Struthio camelus: one gene and its partner. The protein of the gene in region 2 interacts with the protein of the main gene of each other region in a pairwise test. Links are inferred from orthologs where the notes say so. Each region holds a gene or a part of one and is shown on either strand. Other genes may lie near its edges.

Region 1 (7,734 bases), on a different chromosome or scaffold from region 2:
CTCCAAGGGTAGTTCAGCGCTTGAATACATTGCTTAGGGAGGCTGTGGAATCTCCATTACCAGAAATTTTGAGAAACAGGCTATATGTCAGGAGTATTTAACATCAATCCTGTCTATTTGCTCTTATTCTGGAGGGGTTTTTTAGTGGATAAATTTGAAGAAAAATAAGGTCTCATTGGTTTTAATGTTCTATCAGTTAAATCAGGGGCAGTAAAGACAAAAGCCGTGGTTTTAGCACTCCCATAGCTGGATGCTTATTTATACCAATGTACCAATTAGATTTGCTTTCCAAAAGCTTAGCTAAAATGCTGACGAAATATGCCTGATTGGGGAAGTCTTGTCTATGCCACGGTTCCCAAAACTGCTAGCACTGGTTCAGCTGAACTAGCAGAAGGAAAAAAAAATCTCTAGTGTAGATAAGATTTATAGTCTCTGTACCTTAGTTTCCTTATATGTACATAGTAGAACATTTATTGGCTTCTCTTCACTGTCCTATGGTGTTGCAATGCATGTACGACTTCTATTAATAGATTTATCCCTTGGTTTGCCTGAGTTTATTGTTTTGTAATACCTTCTTTGAAAGTGAGGTAATAATTAGTTTATGCAATATTAAAAGCTAACAAAAGAAACAAGCAAGAAGTACCTCAAGGAAGTAGAAAATAGAGTCCAACCTTATCTGCTTTATTTATCTGTGAAATTGCTGAGGCATCCTTCCCTACCACACACTCGAACACCTTCTCTTGAGAAAACCACCACCTCATTCTTCTTAGTCCTCCCAGCCTGCAGGAGGAACAGTTTGACTAGCCAGTGTTTGTGCCTGTGAGTACATGTAAGAAGCCTTTATTAAAGTCAAGTCAGATCAAAGGGAAACACTGCACTTCACTTTAAAATCCTGCAGTCATTCTTGGCTTTTAGCAGAGAAGCCTGCTACAGTCTGGGCCTAGCCTCTGTGAAGCATCTTTTTCCCCTGTGCTTTTTCCTCACCGAGACTGATTTTCCTCACTGAAATATAGTCCAGTGAAAGGTAACTATTAGGGAAGAATACAGCTGCATTTGGAGACACGCTCTCTCACACCAGTGGTTTAAATGTAATAGAGGATTTGGACAGACAAAGATGCTGTAGTCAGAGGGATTGTGTGCAGTGAGGGAATATGTTTGCGAAAATATTCACCACATTTTGCACCAGTATGTCTGGACAGAAGCTACAGCAATGAGTCTGTCAGTTATCAGTATATGGACTGCTGAGACCGAGTCTGACTGCAGCAAGATAGGATGCAGCTTTCTATCTAGCTGGAGAATGTGAATTTCTATTTTGGGGCATCTAACCACACTAAGGAGTCCAAAAGGAACATAGGAAATGATTCAACAAGCTGAGTAAATAGATTTTCTAGGAGCAGCAAATACTGAAACAACGCAATTGCAGAAAATTCCATCCTCCACGTTTTATATATTGTGCAGTTTTGTTGAAAGGTCCTGTCAGACTACATCTGTTTATTCAGAGACAGCATTCATGGCATATTTTATTCCAGCAAAGCTGTAAACTGTACCTCACTTTCTACTGGCCACAGTGGCTTTGCTCATTTAAAAGAACAGCCATGTATGTTTTTGCTTATAAAAGGACTTTCAGTTTTCCTGATGGTGTCTAATTGCCAGGACCCTGATGGCACTACTAGGCCTTAATTGTCCTGACCAGCTTCACCTGGGATCTCCACCCAAGCACCCTTTTTCCATAGTGGGGAGGGGCTCTAGGGGCTTCATTTAAGCTTGGGTTTGGGACTGCAGGTTTTGCCTGAGCTGTGTTTTGGGTGAGCCTGTCTCTGTTCCTTCCCCCTTGGACGAAGCTCATACCTACATTGTAGGTGGCTTGGTCTTTGGTCCTGTCTTCTGCTGTTCCTGGGTGGACTTCTAGGATGGATCCTGGACGTGATTCAAAATCTCACCTTTTCTGATGGTCACTAGATGAATGACAGAAACTGTTGCTGTCACCATCCCAGCCCTGTGCATGACTGTGCCCTTGCCGGTTGGGGCCACCCTTGGTCCCAACTAGTTATCCACGGTGGAGTGGCCCCATTCTTGCTGTTCCCTGGTGCTGATGTGCAGCTCAGGAAGAAACCAAAGGTTGCCTAAAAGTACTCTTTTAAAACAGATTTTTTTCTTGAAAAGAGACTCTAATTTTTATTAATATATTTGAACTTGATCCTAGTTGTTTCAACTTCTAATTTTAACCATGTAAGTTATATTTTCTACAGTTTCTTGCCATCTGACTTTTCAAAGTATCATACATAGCAAAATATAGGAATACTTTGACAAAATAAATCTGTTCATGATTAATTTTAGCACAACCAAATACCTTTAGAACTGTATGGCTTTTATTTCTTGAAATGCAAGACATCTAATCTGGTTAGAACAGCAGACTGTCATGCCAAGTACAGTCATTCTACAGGATTAAGAACTATAGGATTACAGATCCTAATTATAGACTCTTGTCAGTTTACTAAATCCTGATACATTGTTTCCAACTTCTGATTCCACTTGTCAGGTCTCTTTTGCAATCATGTTTTTAATGAACTTTCTGATGTATCTTCTAACTTCAGAAACCTGTATTCTGATAGCACTGACTGGTCTCTATTGTATGTTTAAAGGTCGGAGCACCAAGACCTGAGCATCTCCACTCTGAGGCTTTTCACAACAAACTTCAAATTATACTGTTATTCAACTACACCACTTTCTGCTCTACTTGGTTCATTGGTTTTAGATTACTTCCCGAGAAGCAGTTGATGATGATTCTATGTAGCTTTTTTTTTTTTTTGGCTGCCTGACCGCTCCCCACCCCACCTGCGGTCAGTGTAGATTTATGCACTGAAGATCATTTTAAAAGATACTACTATTTATAGGTAATATATTTATGATGAATGACATTGATATCTTTGTCTTTTGACATCTTCTTTGTCATATTATTTTGCCCTCAATGAACTTTTTGCTTTGTGGAAGCTATGGTTAAGAACATTATTTGTCCAATTGTCGATAGCTGTGTCCTGCAGGACTGGTCAAGCAGCATTCTTTCACATTCAGTGGAAAGCTGTCAAGATAATTAACCTTTCAATAATTGACTGGAATGTGGCCTAGATTCTTTAACTGATGAATGGGGCGATCTTATTTACATTAGGATTTTTTTTGCTAAAGTTACTTACCAGTGCAGCACTCAGTTCAGCTGCTACTGACAATAAGCAATAATAAGCAATGATACAGTCAATACTGCTGTCATTTGAAGCATAAGTTTTGGCTGCCTAATCAGAACAGTGGTAAAATGGAGTCTTGTTTATAGAGACCTTCTAATGTTTTGACTACTGATTCTAAAAGCAATATACAGACTGGGACTTCAAAAGGAAAAAGGGAAGGCTACATGTTAACTGCCACAAAGTCAGAAAATTGCCTGAACTATAGTAGTTGTCACGGTTGCAGTAACGATGGTTTAAGGACATAGTCAAGCCAAGATTAGAAGTAATAGTAATAACTTCTTATTGGACAAACTAGTAAAGCTGGAAAAACAAAGCTTTTTTTTAATAATAGTCTTTTTTAGTTATGGGACCTTATTTCATCATTCCTGTGCATATGCATTATAGTTCAGTCTTTTATTACATATATTAGACAGGAGTAGGCCCTCATTTAGGGAGATGCATGCCCCATGAATGAAAATCCCTGGGTAAGTATCAGGTTTCTCATTTTTGATTGTGCAGTCCTGTAACTTTATTACTGTATACCAATTAAATACAGAACTACTCATTTCCTTGCTTTTTTTTCCCCCCCCTCAAAGATGCTCCAGGTAACAAAACACTCAGACTTTGACAATCTTGTCCTCACCTGCCTGTGAACAAAAGTGATGTTTTAGCCCTCTTTTCCAGCTCACCATCAGAGGAGCTAAGTATTGACAAACCACTTCCAAAGTCACAACTCTACCTGTAGTTTGCCTTCTCGCAAACCGCAGCACCTAAGACAGTTTATGCTGTGCACCACTTCAACGGTGAGTATTCAGTATTTTTTCAAGTTGGGCCTGAAAACGATGAGCTGGGAGCGCGTTGTGGCCAGAGCATCAGCCAGGAGAGTCCTTGGTGCTGCTGGCAGTCGAGGGAAGGTGACGGCGAGCCCGGAGCAGACCCGCTGCAGCCATCAGAGCGGCAGAAGAGCCGGGAACGGGCCCACTCCGGCCGTGTAGCTTGTCCTCCCCCCTCAGCCCGCGCCTCCTTTCCTCTAGCCCTTGGGAACGCGACTTGTTTGCCGACAGCGCGACAAGCCGAGGGCCGGGTGAGGCAGGGGCCGCCCTACGAGCCTCCTTTAAGGTGTTTCGAGTCGCTGGCGAGGCCGGCTGCTCCCGCTCAACAGCGTGGGGCGCTTCCCGAGGACAAGAGGCAACTCCGGGGGGGGGGGAGGGGAATGGAGACCAGGCCCCACAGAGGCTGCTGGCGGAGGCGAGCCGCCGCCCCACCCCCTTCCCGCCGGGGCTGGCGGTTGGGGCGACGGTTAAACCCCTCCCCGGGCGGGGTCTCGCGCACCTGCCTGCCTCCCGCCCCCGGCGGGTGGGGCGCATGCGCAGTGGTTGCGAGGCGTCCCGCCCCCTCCAGTCCCCCCCCCCACCGGCGAGGTTGGCTGAGGGGACGCGGTGCGGAGACGGCCGCTCTCGCTGGGCTCGGCAGGTGAGTGGCGGCGGTGCCCCCCCCCCCCCCCCCCATCGTGGGGCCCCACCGCGCCTGTCCGGTGCGGAGCCGCCGGCGGGCTTCCCGGTGCCGGCCGGCTGTGGGGCGGGCTCTGCGCCCGCTGCCGGGGCCAGCTTGGCGGGGAGGCGTCGTGCGCCCGGCGCGGCGCGGCTCGTTCCCGGTGCCGTTGGCTTGAACCGCGGTCGGCAGCGAAGTCGCTTGGGGTGGGGGGAGGGGAGCCCCCGGGCCGGGGGGCTGCGGGGCGGCGGTGCCGGCCGGCAGGGAGGGCTGACGGTTGGCGTTAGTTAGCGTGAGGGGGAGCCGCGCTCGGGCTAGCACTGCTCGCAAGCGCTTCCCCGTGCCCGGCGGGGCAGCGCGGCCGGCTCCGGGCGGGGGTCCGCGGAGGGAGGGCGGGCGGCGGCGCGGCCCGAGGGCTGGGGCGAGGCGCGGTCGGCGCGGTGGCGGGCTGGTTTCGGCGCGGTTCCGACCGCTCCGCGGTCTGCGAGCGCTGCCGAGGCTGACGGCGGGCCCGCGGCTCGGCGGCCACTGCGTACTGCTGCAGCAGCTCAGGAGCGGGGATTTGCAGCTCGCCGTCGTTTCTTAACGCGATTACGCTGGAGAGCAAGGCGCGCGGAGGGAATTCTGGTTGCGAGTTGGTGGCAAGGCGGTGAGCGGTGCGGAAGCGTTGCGCTGCCGACGTGCTCGCGCTCTGCTGGGGGCTCCCTGATACTCGTAGGACTCCAGGAAGCAGGGGCACACCAAGCGCAAGATCCTGGACGATGCCGTAAACTCAGAAGTACTGCTGACAAAAAGCAACCGGGTTTTCATCAGTTTGGAAGTGTGGTCCGCTTTGTTTGCGGATGGCTTACTTGACTGTGTGCTCGCTGATTTGTTCGTTGTGTTCATCTGTAAGCATCTTCCGCAGAAAATCTGAGAAACGGTGATCTAGGTAGTTAAGACTAGCAGTATTTGTGATTACCAGCTTCTCTTTAGGAGCAGACGAAAGGTTATTCAATCTAGAAGCATGCAGTGGCAGCTACCATCTGTTCGAATATTTACATTCCTCAGTAAAATAAGGGAAGAACCTTAGCTCTTGTTGCTTTAATATTTTTATTGTTGTTTTCATTTTATTATAGATTGGTTTAATGAGGTCTGGGGTGGGTTAAAATCAGGCCTTTTGTATTTCTGTCTCAGCGGTCGCTCTTCTGCTGCGCTTGGTTAATGTTACCTAGTGAGCAAAGAAGGATGAATAATTTACCATTCTCATTATGCTTTTAATAAATAACAAATGTGAGTGCACCTCACAGCTGCAACTGAAATATCCATCTTGTTACAGTATATTTAAAAGGGTAAATTTTTCTATAAGGAAAGTTAAAATAAATCTTCTGATTACAAACTACACCTATCTTCATAGCTGTATTGACTTCATTTAAAATTAATTTTAAAATGCTAAATAAACTGCTCTCATAGCTATTCCAATTAAATTTATGGATTTTCTCAGAAAACATGTACTTTGGATTTTTATTTTTAAGAGCCTTTTAAATATGGTGCTTAAAGTCTTGTCTACTGTAACTTTGCCAAAACTTAAAGTTTAAGACACTTCAATTACACGTAGTATGGTAACCAGTTTTTTCAGAAATTAAGAAAATGAAATATTTCCTTAATGCGTTTACAGATAGCTTTAGAAGGCTTTGCAAAAACCGTGAAAACTGTAATCATTTTTATTTATTAATAAAATATTTTTAGTGTTAATTAAAAAATGAAAGGGTTACTTTAGTTGAAGTTTTGGCAAGAGTTGTGATGCTGTCAGTCAGTGTGATCAGGCTTAAAACCGATAAGGTGTTGTAAAGCTGTTTCCAAAACAAGGCAGAACAGTGCTGTGCCTTAAAAAGAGCAGTATCTGGAAAGAGATGAATATTCACAGTAAAACTAACTTGGTTTAGAGAGGCTTTTGGAACCGAACAGCATTCACTGAATGTTTGTTTATAATAAAATTTCCAAGCATTATACCTTGCAAAGCACTGATTTTTTTTTTTTCCTCTCTCTCTAGTAAAAGGTATACTGGATTCTAGACTGCATTTATAGGTTTCACAAACACTTCATAAATATAGATCTTTGAATCTTGCCTGCTACTTATTTTTGTAAGAGATAAAACACTTGCAGTCACCTGTACTTTTCTAGATGAAGCTATCCCAATGATAACACTTTCAAATGAGATTTTTAATCATCAGTTCAGCAAAACAAAAATTCTTTTAATGGACTTGATAAAATCTTGTTATCAAATAGGTTAAATATTTCTTTAAAACAGCGTGAAAAATTGTTTTGTATGTCTAATATGAGAGTACAGAATATAAAAGACCCTGATCATAGTGACTTCATATGGCATAACTAATAGAAATATGATAGGAAAAAAACCCTGTTGAACTGAACTGAACCTTTTTTTTTTTTTGCTTGTTCTTTAAACTTTCCTCACTGTTTCTTTTGCTTTTGATAGGTCAATATGTTGTGTAAGATCACTTTCAAATAAAAGTAGAATATCTGAAGACTGGAGTAGTTCAGTGCTCTTCTTTTCTCTCATATCTTGCTGTCTCCCAAATTATGTTCCCTGTTTGGGCTGCTTAAGTAGAAAGTTCCATCATAATTGCAAAACCTTAAAGGTAGGGTAATTTTTCTGTGTCTCTGAAGTAGCTAAAGGCCACGCTATCTTATTTTATCTCTAGTTGTTTTTTATATAATCTTAATAAATCAGACTTGTGAAGAATTTACTTTTATCACAATCTGTTGCATAGTGGTGCTTAAACAAAAACTTCATATCTTGCTTGCAACACTTTAAAGGCTTTGGCTGCTGGCATCTCATTGTTTATGTGGTGGGCAAGGGCTACAGGAGCGCCAAGGTTATTTGGTGAGCTGTAATCCATGCCAAGGTAGATTGGAGGGAGGCAGTGAACCATACTTATGATTCAATTTTGAATTGTTTTCTGTAAACCTTAAGGGAATTCCTATGCCAAATCTTGAATTGTGTTTGTGCAATGAACTAGCATCG
Region 2 (8,551 bases):
CAGCGAGGGCAGGCCGCTTCGCAGCCAGCTCAGGCGCAGCAGCAGCCTTGTCGAAACAGGTCAGCTCAGCTGCCGGGCCGGAGCAGAGCATCCCACCCCTGCGTAGGGGACCTCGCGCCCCGCTGGGCGAGGGCCTCGGGCTCTGCTCTCAGCAAGCTCTGGGTAGCACCTTGGGGTACGAGATGCCTAGGCCGTGCGCAGATAGGAACTGGGGTAGGGAGGGGGTTGCTTGAAGCCCATAAACTTCAAGGTGCTTTGGTTTGGAGCCTTAAGGGCTAGTTTTGGGTTGGTGACTGGTGGCTGTCTGCATTCGGAGCCAGAAGGACGGAGAACGTTGTTCCTGGGCAGATTACAGAGCCTGGCTTGAGCTGCAGAGATTCATCTTCAGATCCTGACAGCCCTGCTCTGATCTCTGGCGCTAATCATCATGGCAGCTGCCCGAGCACAGACGGCAAGATGCCCGCGCTGCAACAGGAATTTGTCCCACGGCTGCCGACTGAAGGAGCCACCGAGATCGAGTCGTACAGTCGTCCGTGTCAGAGCGCTAACTGCCCTAGGAAGGTACTTCCTAGGCAACCCCTAACTGAATCAGCTGAGATCACAGGCCTGGCTCCTTATTACCTGCAGGAAATGTTCCAGCGTGATTGATCGCTTGCCAAACCGGTGCTCAGTTATGTGCTCTGTCACTACTATGCTTTGAACGCTCAGTCACCAGGGGCACCCTGGCACTCAGCCCTGAGCTAACACGCAACCCTACAACCTACCTTTCCCCAGCTGAAAAAGCCTCTCCGAAGAGCCGGCTGAGGCTGGGCTGGCCGCTGTGTCCAAGCCTCTGTTCCTGTTTACAGCACGGGGCTGTTGATTTTAGCAGGGTTGCTCTGTCTTTGTAGCAGCATAACTGGGCGGGAGCTGGCTCCGACTCCAGCAGCGCCTTGAGCGCGGGACGGGGCGGCAGGAGCTCCTCAACTCGCAATCTGCCCCCGGCTTCTCCAGCAAGTCGTTTAACCGGTCTGGCTCTGGCTTCCCCCTCTCGACTGCAGGGACGTCTCCACAGAGCGGGAGCGTTCCCTGCATTCGCAGATGTTTGTAAACTCCAGCACAGGAATTAACAAATTGGGCGTAATAAGCGCAGCCCTGCCCTAGGTGTGCGTGGACACACTTGGAGGCACAGACACGGCTCTCCGTGCTGCGGGGAGGGAGGGTGGCCCGAGGCCACATCGCGCGTCGCTTCCTGAGCCTGCACAATCCAGCCACAAAGAATAAGATTTCATCCTGGCCTACAGGTCTGCGGCCGTCAGAGGTGCGTTGACGTCCCTCTGAGGCGGTGCCCCGAGCGTGCTGGGCTTGCTGGCAGGGCGCTGGAGGGAAGGCCATCTTCCCGAGCCCCAGGTGCCCGTGCACGAAGGCCCGTCTCCTGCTGCCTCCCGGGCTCCGGGTGCTGCTCAGAGTCCTGAGATGTCAAGCCAGGTGTGGCATTTCTTGTGTTCAAGCCCTACTCCGACACCAGTGGAGATTAGAAACAGAACCTGGTTTTCACATCTTCGTTTGAGGCTGCAATCGCTCCTTCAGCCCTCGACGCTGGTGACGGGGCCTTCGGGGAGGCGCGTGCTTGTGCCTCAGATGGCACAAACTCCTCTCCCTCCACCAGCCCTTGCTGGGGTGGGAGCCGGCGCCAGAGCGTGCCGCGGGGCTTGGGGAGGGGGTGCAAGCGGCTGTTTCGACGGCCCTGCTGAGCCGGTCGGGCTGCAGAGGCTGCCTGGGGATCCCATCCCCGCTTCCGGAGCCGGAGCTCTTTGGTCCTCAGTACTGAGAGAGGGAGCTCAGCAGGTGCCAAGACCGACCTGAGTCCCCCCACGCTCAGGGTCTCCCCCTTTCAGGGGACCCCCATGCCAAAAGCGACAGCATGGGACCTGCAGGCAGCCCTAGTTTTGCCTGCAGGGAGGAAGCAGCGCGGCACTTTCCCCAGCTCCCCCACTGCCCTCCGCTGAGTCAGGACAGCTCCCTGACGTCTCGCCGCCAGCACTGCGACTACAGGATAGTCGAGCCAAAAAAGCCCAGAACTGAGCGGATTAATTCCCAGGTGGGGTGAGAGGCAGCTCCGGGAGCTGCTGAAGGCAGACCTGCGCACCTCGGCTGTCTGAGCTCCCCGCCTCGGAAGGGGTCAGCACCCTCTGGGCCGCCCGGGGCCCCCTTCCTGGGTCCCTGAACGCAGCCTCAGCCCCCGCGCCCGTTCTTGAGTTTCCCTTCCCAAAGGACGATTTTTGGGGAGCGCAGCGCAGCGCTGCAGCGCCCAGCCCGCAGGCTGGGGCAGGTGTCTCCCCGTCACCCCCATCCCAGCGGCAGACGGGCAGCGCTGCCAGAAGCGCAGCAGGGAAAGAGGAAATGCCGAACGGCCGGAGAGCCGTTTGCGCAGCAGTACAAAGCCACCGGCTCACATCCACACCTGGAGAGACGGAGGCAGGAGGGCTCCTTCCCTTCCTCGCATTACTCACTAGTGGCTCCCGGAGTGTATACACTCCAGAGCCTCTCCAGGCCTTTCCAGAAATGCTAGACTTCCTCCCGAATTGATCAGAACATTCAACTTCTGTTGCAAAAATGACCCCTCTGTCCCTGACATGCACCCAGGGGTTGGGGACTGGCCGCCCTCCAGTTTCCTTCTCTCCTACAATGAATCATTCAGCCTGGAGAGAGGCCGTGCCTTTTCTATTGGGAACTTTTACATCTTTTCCATTTTAACAGCATTCTTGCAAGGGGTATGTGTAACCCCGCGCGTGTTCTTGCACCAGCACAACTTAAAATCCATTTCCACCCCAACAGAAAGGGCGTCGAGAGAAGAGGAAACACTGACTATTCGGTTCTAACGAAACCAAAGCTCAAGGCAACGAGCGCTGAAGCTGCGAAGGCTCGAAGACCGACTCTGGCCTCCGCCGAGGAGGGCACGGCAGCGGCTCGGCAGCCCTGCCGCTCTCGGGGACCCCGCCGAGCGCGGTGCGCGGCGGCGGTGCGGAGCGGTGCGGAGCGGTGCGCGGCGGGGCCGAGCGCTGCGCCGCGCTCCGGGCGGCCCCCGACGGGGCGGCGGGCGCTCACTCACCTCTTCTTCTGCACCGAGGGGCTGTACTTCCCTTTGTTGCGCTTCCTGAAGAGCGAGTGCATCGCGGCGGCCGGCTCCTTCCCCCCGCTGCCGCCGGGAGCCTCTCTGCGCCGGGAGCCGGCGGGGCCGGGCCGGGCCGGGCCGGGCCGGGCCGGGCCGGGGGAGGCGGGGACGGGGCTGCGGCTGCCGCTGGCCCGGCCCCGGGGTGGTGCCTGCGCGGCCGCGGCAGGTGCCAGCGGCGCGGGCGCGGCCCCCCCGGCACCGCCGCGCCGCCTCCAGCCCCTTCCTCCTGCGGGGCGGCCCGGCTTCGGGGCTCGCCGACTTGGCGGGCAGTTTTGTCAGAGCCAGATATTTCCCTTTTTTTTTTTCCTCGGCTCTTCCGATCGGGGTAGAGACGTGTCGAAGTTGTCCCGGCTCCCCGGAAGAGCACAGGCTTAAAGATTCAGGAAAGGGCAGTGTTGGACTAGCTGTAAAAAAAAAATCACCGCTGGAAAGGCAGGGCAGATTCCCCAAAGAGAAGTGCTCCGAGAGTCACCAAATCCTTGGGAATCAGCCCTGCCCAGGCAGTCCTGCTGTGGGCCAGGGGTGCGTTCGGGGTGCTCTCCCCTCCGGGGTGCTCCCGCGCAGTGCCGGGTGCCTGCTCGGGGCAGACGGGCCCTGCTCCTGGTTCCTGTGCCGAGGGGGCCGAGGGCTGCGGCGGCAAGGAGAGCTGGCTGCCAGGCAGCGGGGCTGCAGGGCTCGCCTGCTCCTCTGCCGGCCTCTCCGCACTGCGCGGTTTTGCCCCAGCGCCTCTGCCTATGTCCTGGTCTCGGGAGGGACCAGAGCGGACTTGGGGCGGCAGCTTGGCCGACGAGCTCGGAGAGGGCCCCAGGCTGTCCGGTGCCCCGGTCAGGGCTGGCGTGTGTCCCTTTGCCCCGGCCGGCAGCCCAGCTCCAGCAGCCGCCAGCACCCTGTGCGGCGGGCGCCACGCCAGGGCTGTGCCACCCCCGGCTGCGCTGCAGCAGGGGCTCGGGCTGCATCCGCTCAGCGGCTCCCGCCGGCTCTCGCACAGGGGCCCAAGGCAGCCTGGCTTTGGCCTTCCAGCCGCAGAAAACAGTCCGCTGGGAAGCGACTCTTCCAAATCCTATCGCAAAACTGCCAGGAGGTTGCTCCCCCAACCCGGAGCCCTTCCCGGCTTCGGGGCCGGTCCTCAGGGCACAGACGGGCAGTGGGGAAGGGAGAGAGCTGGCTCCCTCCCGCCTGCCGCAGCCTAAGAGGTTTTGCTCACCCATCCCCGTGTGCACAGCACTGAGCAATTAGGAGCAGCTCTGGCCTTTTTATCCAGGGATTTTGTGCCCATCTGGGATTAAACAACTGAATACATGATTGTCGCTACCTCACCAGCCCCAAATCCTCTGCTGATTTTCATTCTCGGGGCAAGTCAGTGCAGGCTGTGACCTATTGCTCCTGATCCCCGGCTTGGGTCGGATTGCCACCTCTTTCGGCAGCATTTGCTCCACGCGGCGTGCAGAGCCCCGAGCCCTGCGCTCGCTGTCGCTGCGCGGAGAACCGTTCCTGCACGGATCCAGCTGCGTCCGCACGATGCTGGGGGGCAGCAGGTCCTAGCGCTTCGAGCACGCGGCAAGTATGTGCAAGTGTGTGTGTGTGTGTGTGCGCGCGCGCGCGTGGACTTCTTCCACCTCCGCTCCTTGGGCTGTAACCTTGGGCGAAGAAGCGAGGTGCGCAATCCATGTAATCCTGGCTGCTTTTTAGAGGCAGCATCCGAGAACCTCCTGAGTTTTCGCAGTTCTCCCACATCTGAGGCAATTTCTGCAAAATGCTCTGATTCGAGCAACGCCGCCTTCGCCGGCGAGGGCTGCTTCGCAGAGCCGCGCTGCCTGGCGGCGGCACCGAGCCCCTCGCAGGGCCGTGGCTGCGGCAGCTCGGCGGACCGGGGCCCTCGGCAGCCAGAGCAGGGGCTCGCGGGACGGTCGGTGGCACCTCCGGCCGCTCTCTCCGGCTCCGCCAGCCCTTTCCCAGCCAGAGCGGAGCCGCCCCCTGGCCTGGCGCGGTCCTCGCTGGAGGACGGCGGCGGGGACGGTGCTGTAATGACCGACTCTAGCGGGGCAAAGGATGCTTGGTTACCGAGTGACGTGTTCTGCGCTTCGAAGGTGATGGCAGTTGATTTGTTTGAGGCTCCAAAGCTTTTAAGAGAGCCCTGTGCTTTCTCTGGAGAGCGCTGGCGTGGCGTTGCCCTTTGGCTCTCCTATTGATTAATCGCTGGAAATCAGCTTGGCTGTGAGCCCCAGCCGGTGGCGGCGGCGGCGAGGCAGGACCCGGGAGCCAGGAGGGAGGGGGCTGCGTGCAGCCTGCGGCCCCCAAAAGGCGCCTTGTGCGGCTGCATCGCCGCAGCCTGGCGCTTTGGAGGGTCCCTGCGGGCTCCAGCGGAGAAGTCACCCCCCTGCAAGGGAGCGAGACCTGCCCGAAAGAGAGCCGGCCGCCGGGCTGCTGGGGGAGAGGAGCCCTCCGCCCCTGGCTCCCGCCTGCCCCTGCCGCCTCCCGAGCGCCGGCCCGGCTTTGCTCGCCTCTGCCGGGCGCCGATGCCGTTCCCACGTGCTCGTGGCTGACTCAGGTCCGCTCCGCGGCATCCATCCTGCTCCGCGCTGCCTGCCAGCGTGGGGCCTACTAGCCCCCACTAGCGAGAGACCCTCTTCATTAGGCAGCAGGCTGCGGCGGCAGCAGCGGAGGGGGATGCGTGTCCCCGTCGCTCCCCGACCTCGGGGAGAGCCGCACCGGCAGGCGTGGGACGAGCAGGGCCGGATCGGCCCCGACCGCCCGAGCCGCGCAGGGGAAAACTGATCCCGGAGGCAGAGGAGCCGGCGGGAGCCGGCGGGCAGCGGGCTGGCACCAGCCTGGAGCGAGGACGCCGGGCCGAGCAGAGCAGGGCGTCCGGCTGGGCCCGCGCAGCGAACCTCCGAAACGCTCGCTCCTCGCCGGCTTGCACCCCTGCCGCCGGCCGCAGCGCTAGCGCGCGGAGAAGGGCGAATGTATTACTACCCTCCGGACGACTAACGCGCTGCGTTTTCATAGCCTCTTCCAACCCTGCGTCTTAAAGTCTCTGAGAAGCAGAGATATATTTAGCGCTCTCCCAGATGCCCGAGCCTGCGTCTCCGTTGCTAGGTCAAACGGCGAACGCCGTTCTGGCTGGCACGCTAAGCGCGCCCCGGCGGAGGGCCGGTTTTTTCCGCTGGGCGAGGAGGCGGCGGGGCCGTGCTGAGCGGCGCGGCGGCTCGGGGGCTCTGGCTGGCGGCGCCAGCAGGGCACCCTGCCCATGCACGGCCCCGAGGCCTGGCCGCCCAGGGCCTCTGTGGAGCCCTGCTGGCAGTCGCTGTGATGAGTGGTGTGGGGTCTCTGCAGGCAAGAGCCCCAGGAGAGCCTGGCTGCCGGCGGCGCCCTGTTTCCCCGCCGGCAGAGCCGGGTGCCCTCTTGCACTGTGGCCGGGGCAATACCGTCCCCCAGGAGCAGTGTCTTGCCTGCCCAGGGCAGCGTGCGTTGGCTTGTGGCCCAAGCCGAGGGGGAGGAGCAGGCAGAAGTCATGCTCCGCGTCCTTCCATTTAACCAGATGATATTTTGCCTAGCTTTATTTGCTCTAGAAAACACTCTCAGGTTTTGGCACTTTGATACCCCCCGGTACGTCGTGGCAGCGCGTCGCCCCGGACCGGCCGGCCTGCCGGGAAAAGGCAGCTCCTCGTCCCGCTCCGCAGAGCTCCTGAGCCAGCCCGGAAGGTGAACAGAGCGCTGACGTACCGAGGAAATGTCCCTGTCTATCGCTTCTTCTTCTTTTTTTTTTGTGTGCATCTTTTCCTCTTTTATTCCCCTCCGGCGTGACCTCTGCGGCGCTAATCCCCCTAATCTCCCCTCATCTCCGGCGCGGTTCATTTGCGCGCGCGAGTGCCCTTGAGAGCCGCCGAGCCGAAACGGCTCGGGGAAGCCCGGCAGGCAGCGAGAAACCCCGTCGGGGTGGAAGCCTGTCCGGTGCAAACCGCCCGGGCATTTTGCCTCTATCCTGCCTTTGGGCTAAGGCACCGTGTGAGCCCAGCTCGCCGGCTGCTCTTTGGGCAAGAGCTTTAATCCCACCCGATTTCGGAGCTGTGACGAGCGCTGCCGTGCTGCTGCCCTCCTGCACTAGCCAAACCAGAGCCTAAAATCAGGCTTAAAATGATTTTGAGGGGCGTCCCGAGCTTTGCTGTCCCTTGTACTCGGGCAGGAATCATGGCTGCTTCCGGCACCTTGCCCCGAGTCCCTCCAAAAGAGGCACTTCTCCATGGGCGCCGCGGCCGGGACGCGGCGAGGCCGGCACAGGGCCCCGTGTCCGGTTGCCGCCAGCTCCCGGGTGTCTGCCAATTCGGAAGAGGCAATACTGGCGAGGAGAGAAATGAGAGCTGATGTCAAATCTGGGATACGGCGAAACGGAGAAGCTGTGCAAAAGCTCCGGAAAGGTTTCGGGCCTCTGTGCTCACTGGGGTTTTGATGCAATTAAAAACACAGAAGAATTTAAAAATCCCCTAATGTTTCTTGGGCTTCAGGAAGCAGAAACGCCCTGCCAGCGATGGCCCGGGGCGGCGAGCGCCGCGTCCCGCCGGGGCTCGGGGGTCCCGCGGGCGCCTCTGCGGCCCCTCTCCCGTGGGCGCAGCCAAGCAGCCAGCCAGCGCCTTTTGCAGAGCGCAGTCCTTGCAGGCAGGCAGCAGCGCGCCAGCGCTCGCTCCCCCTGGGGCGGCAGCTCGTGAGCCGGCGAGCGCGTTGCGTGCCCCCAGGTTTTGCTTTCGCAGCCCGCTCCTCCCGCGCAGGGCCCTCCTTGCACGCCGCCGCCGCTGCCTCCAAATGCCGGCTCCGCAACCGTTTCGGGGGCCTGGCCGGGTGACGCCGGCTCCCTTCCCCACGGAGCCGTCCCGTCCCCTTGCCCGGCCAACGCTCCAGCGCACCCCGATCGGGACCCAGCGTCGGCTCTCGGGAGGCTTCTCGGTGCCGTTGCCCAGTCGAAGGGGTTTGGTTTTAGGCTGAAGGATTCAGTTTGGGAGCGGGAGGAGTTGTGAAAAAAGTGGGAGATTTCTTCCAAAAGCTGAGGCGCTTGGTGGGAAAACAACTGGATCAGCCAAAACCTCTTTTTTTCTTTCCTGGGTGGAAATTTTTGGCAAGCCTCACGGGAGCGTGAAGCTGAGCTGGTCACTCCACTGCCCCGGGATTTTTTGGCCGTTTGGAGGTAGGACGGGGTGTTTTGAAGGGCGTCCCAGTGCCCGGCCAGCGTACGGCAGCCGGGCACTGCGGCACCGCCGAGCTGCCGCTTCCCTCCCGCGGCTCCCAGACTGGCAGGAATGTGGCTGTGCTTGTTCCAAACTGCTCCGTCGCGGGGCGAAACCTCCCTGAGCTCCCTTCAAGGCTCAGTCACGAGCCTGGCTAAGCCGGGCTGCTCCAGCCCCGGCC

Evidence for each region.
Region 1: the proteins of PPL (region 2) and RAB3IP interact in binary tests that used the Homo sapiens proteins (3 or more experiments, as listed by UniProt). The two-hybrid records come from large-scale screens. The link is inferred for Struthio camelus from reciprocal best matches to the Homo sapiens genes PPL and RAB3IP.

Annotation. Positions count from the first base shown.
Region 1 is NC_090942.1:40,821,089-40,828,822, forward strand, and holds the start of RAB3IP (rab-3A-interacting protein), read left to right. Parts: upstream 1-4,591; 5' UTR 4,592-4,691; intron 4,692-7,734. UniProt on the Homo sapiens protein: Guanine nucleotide exchange factor (GEF) which may activate RAB8A and RAB8B. Promotes the exchange of GDP to GTP, converting inactive GDP-bound Rab proteins into their active GTP-bound form.
Region 2 is NC_090956.1:17,374,509-17,383,059, reverse strand, and holds the start of PPL (periplakin), read right to left. Parts: upstream 3,234-8,551; 5' UTR 3,154-3,233; coding exon 3,092-3,153; intron 1-3,091. UniProt on the Homo sapiens protein: Component of the cornified envelope of keratinocytes. May link the cornified envelope to desmosomes and intermediate filaments. May act as a localization signal in PKB/AKT-mediated signaling.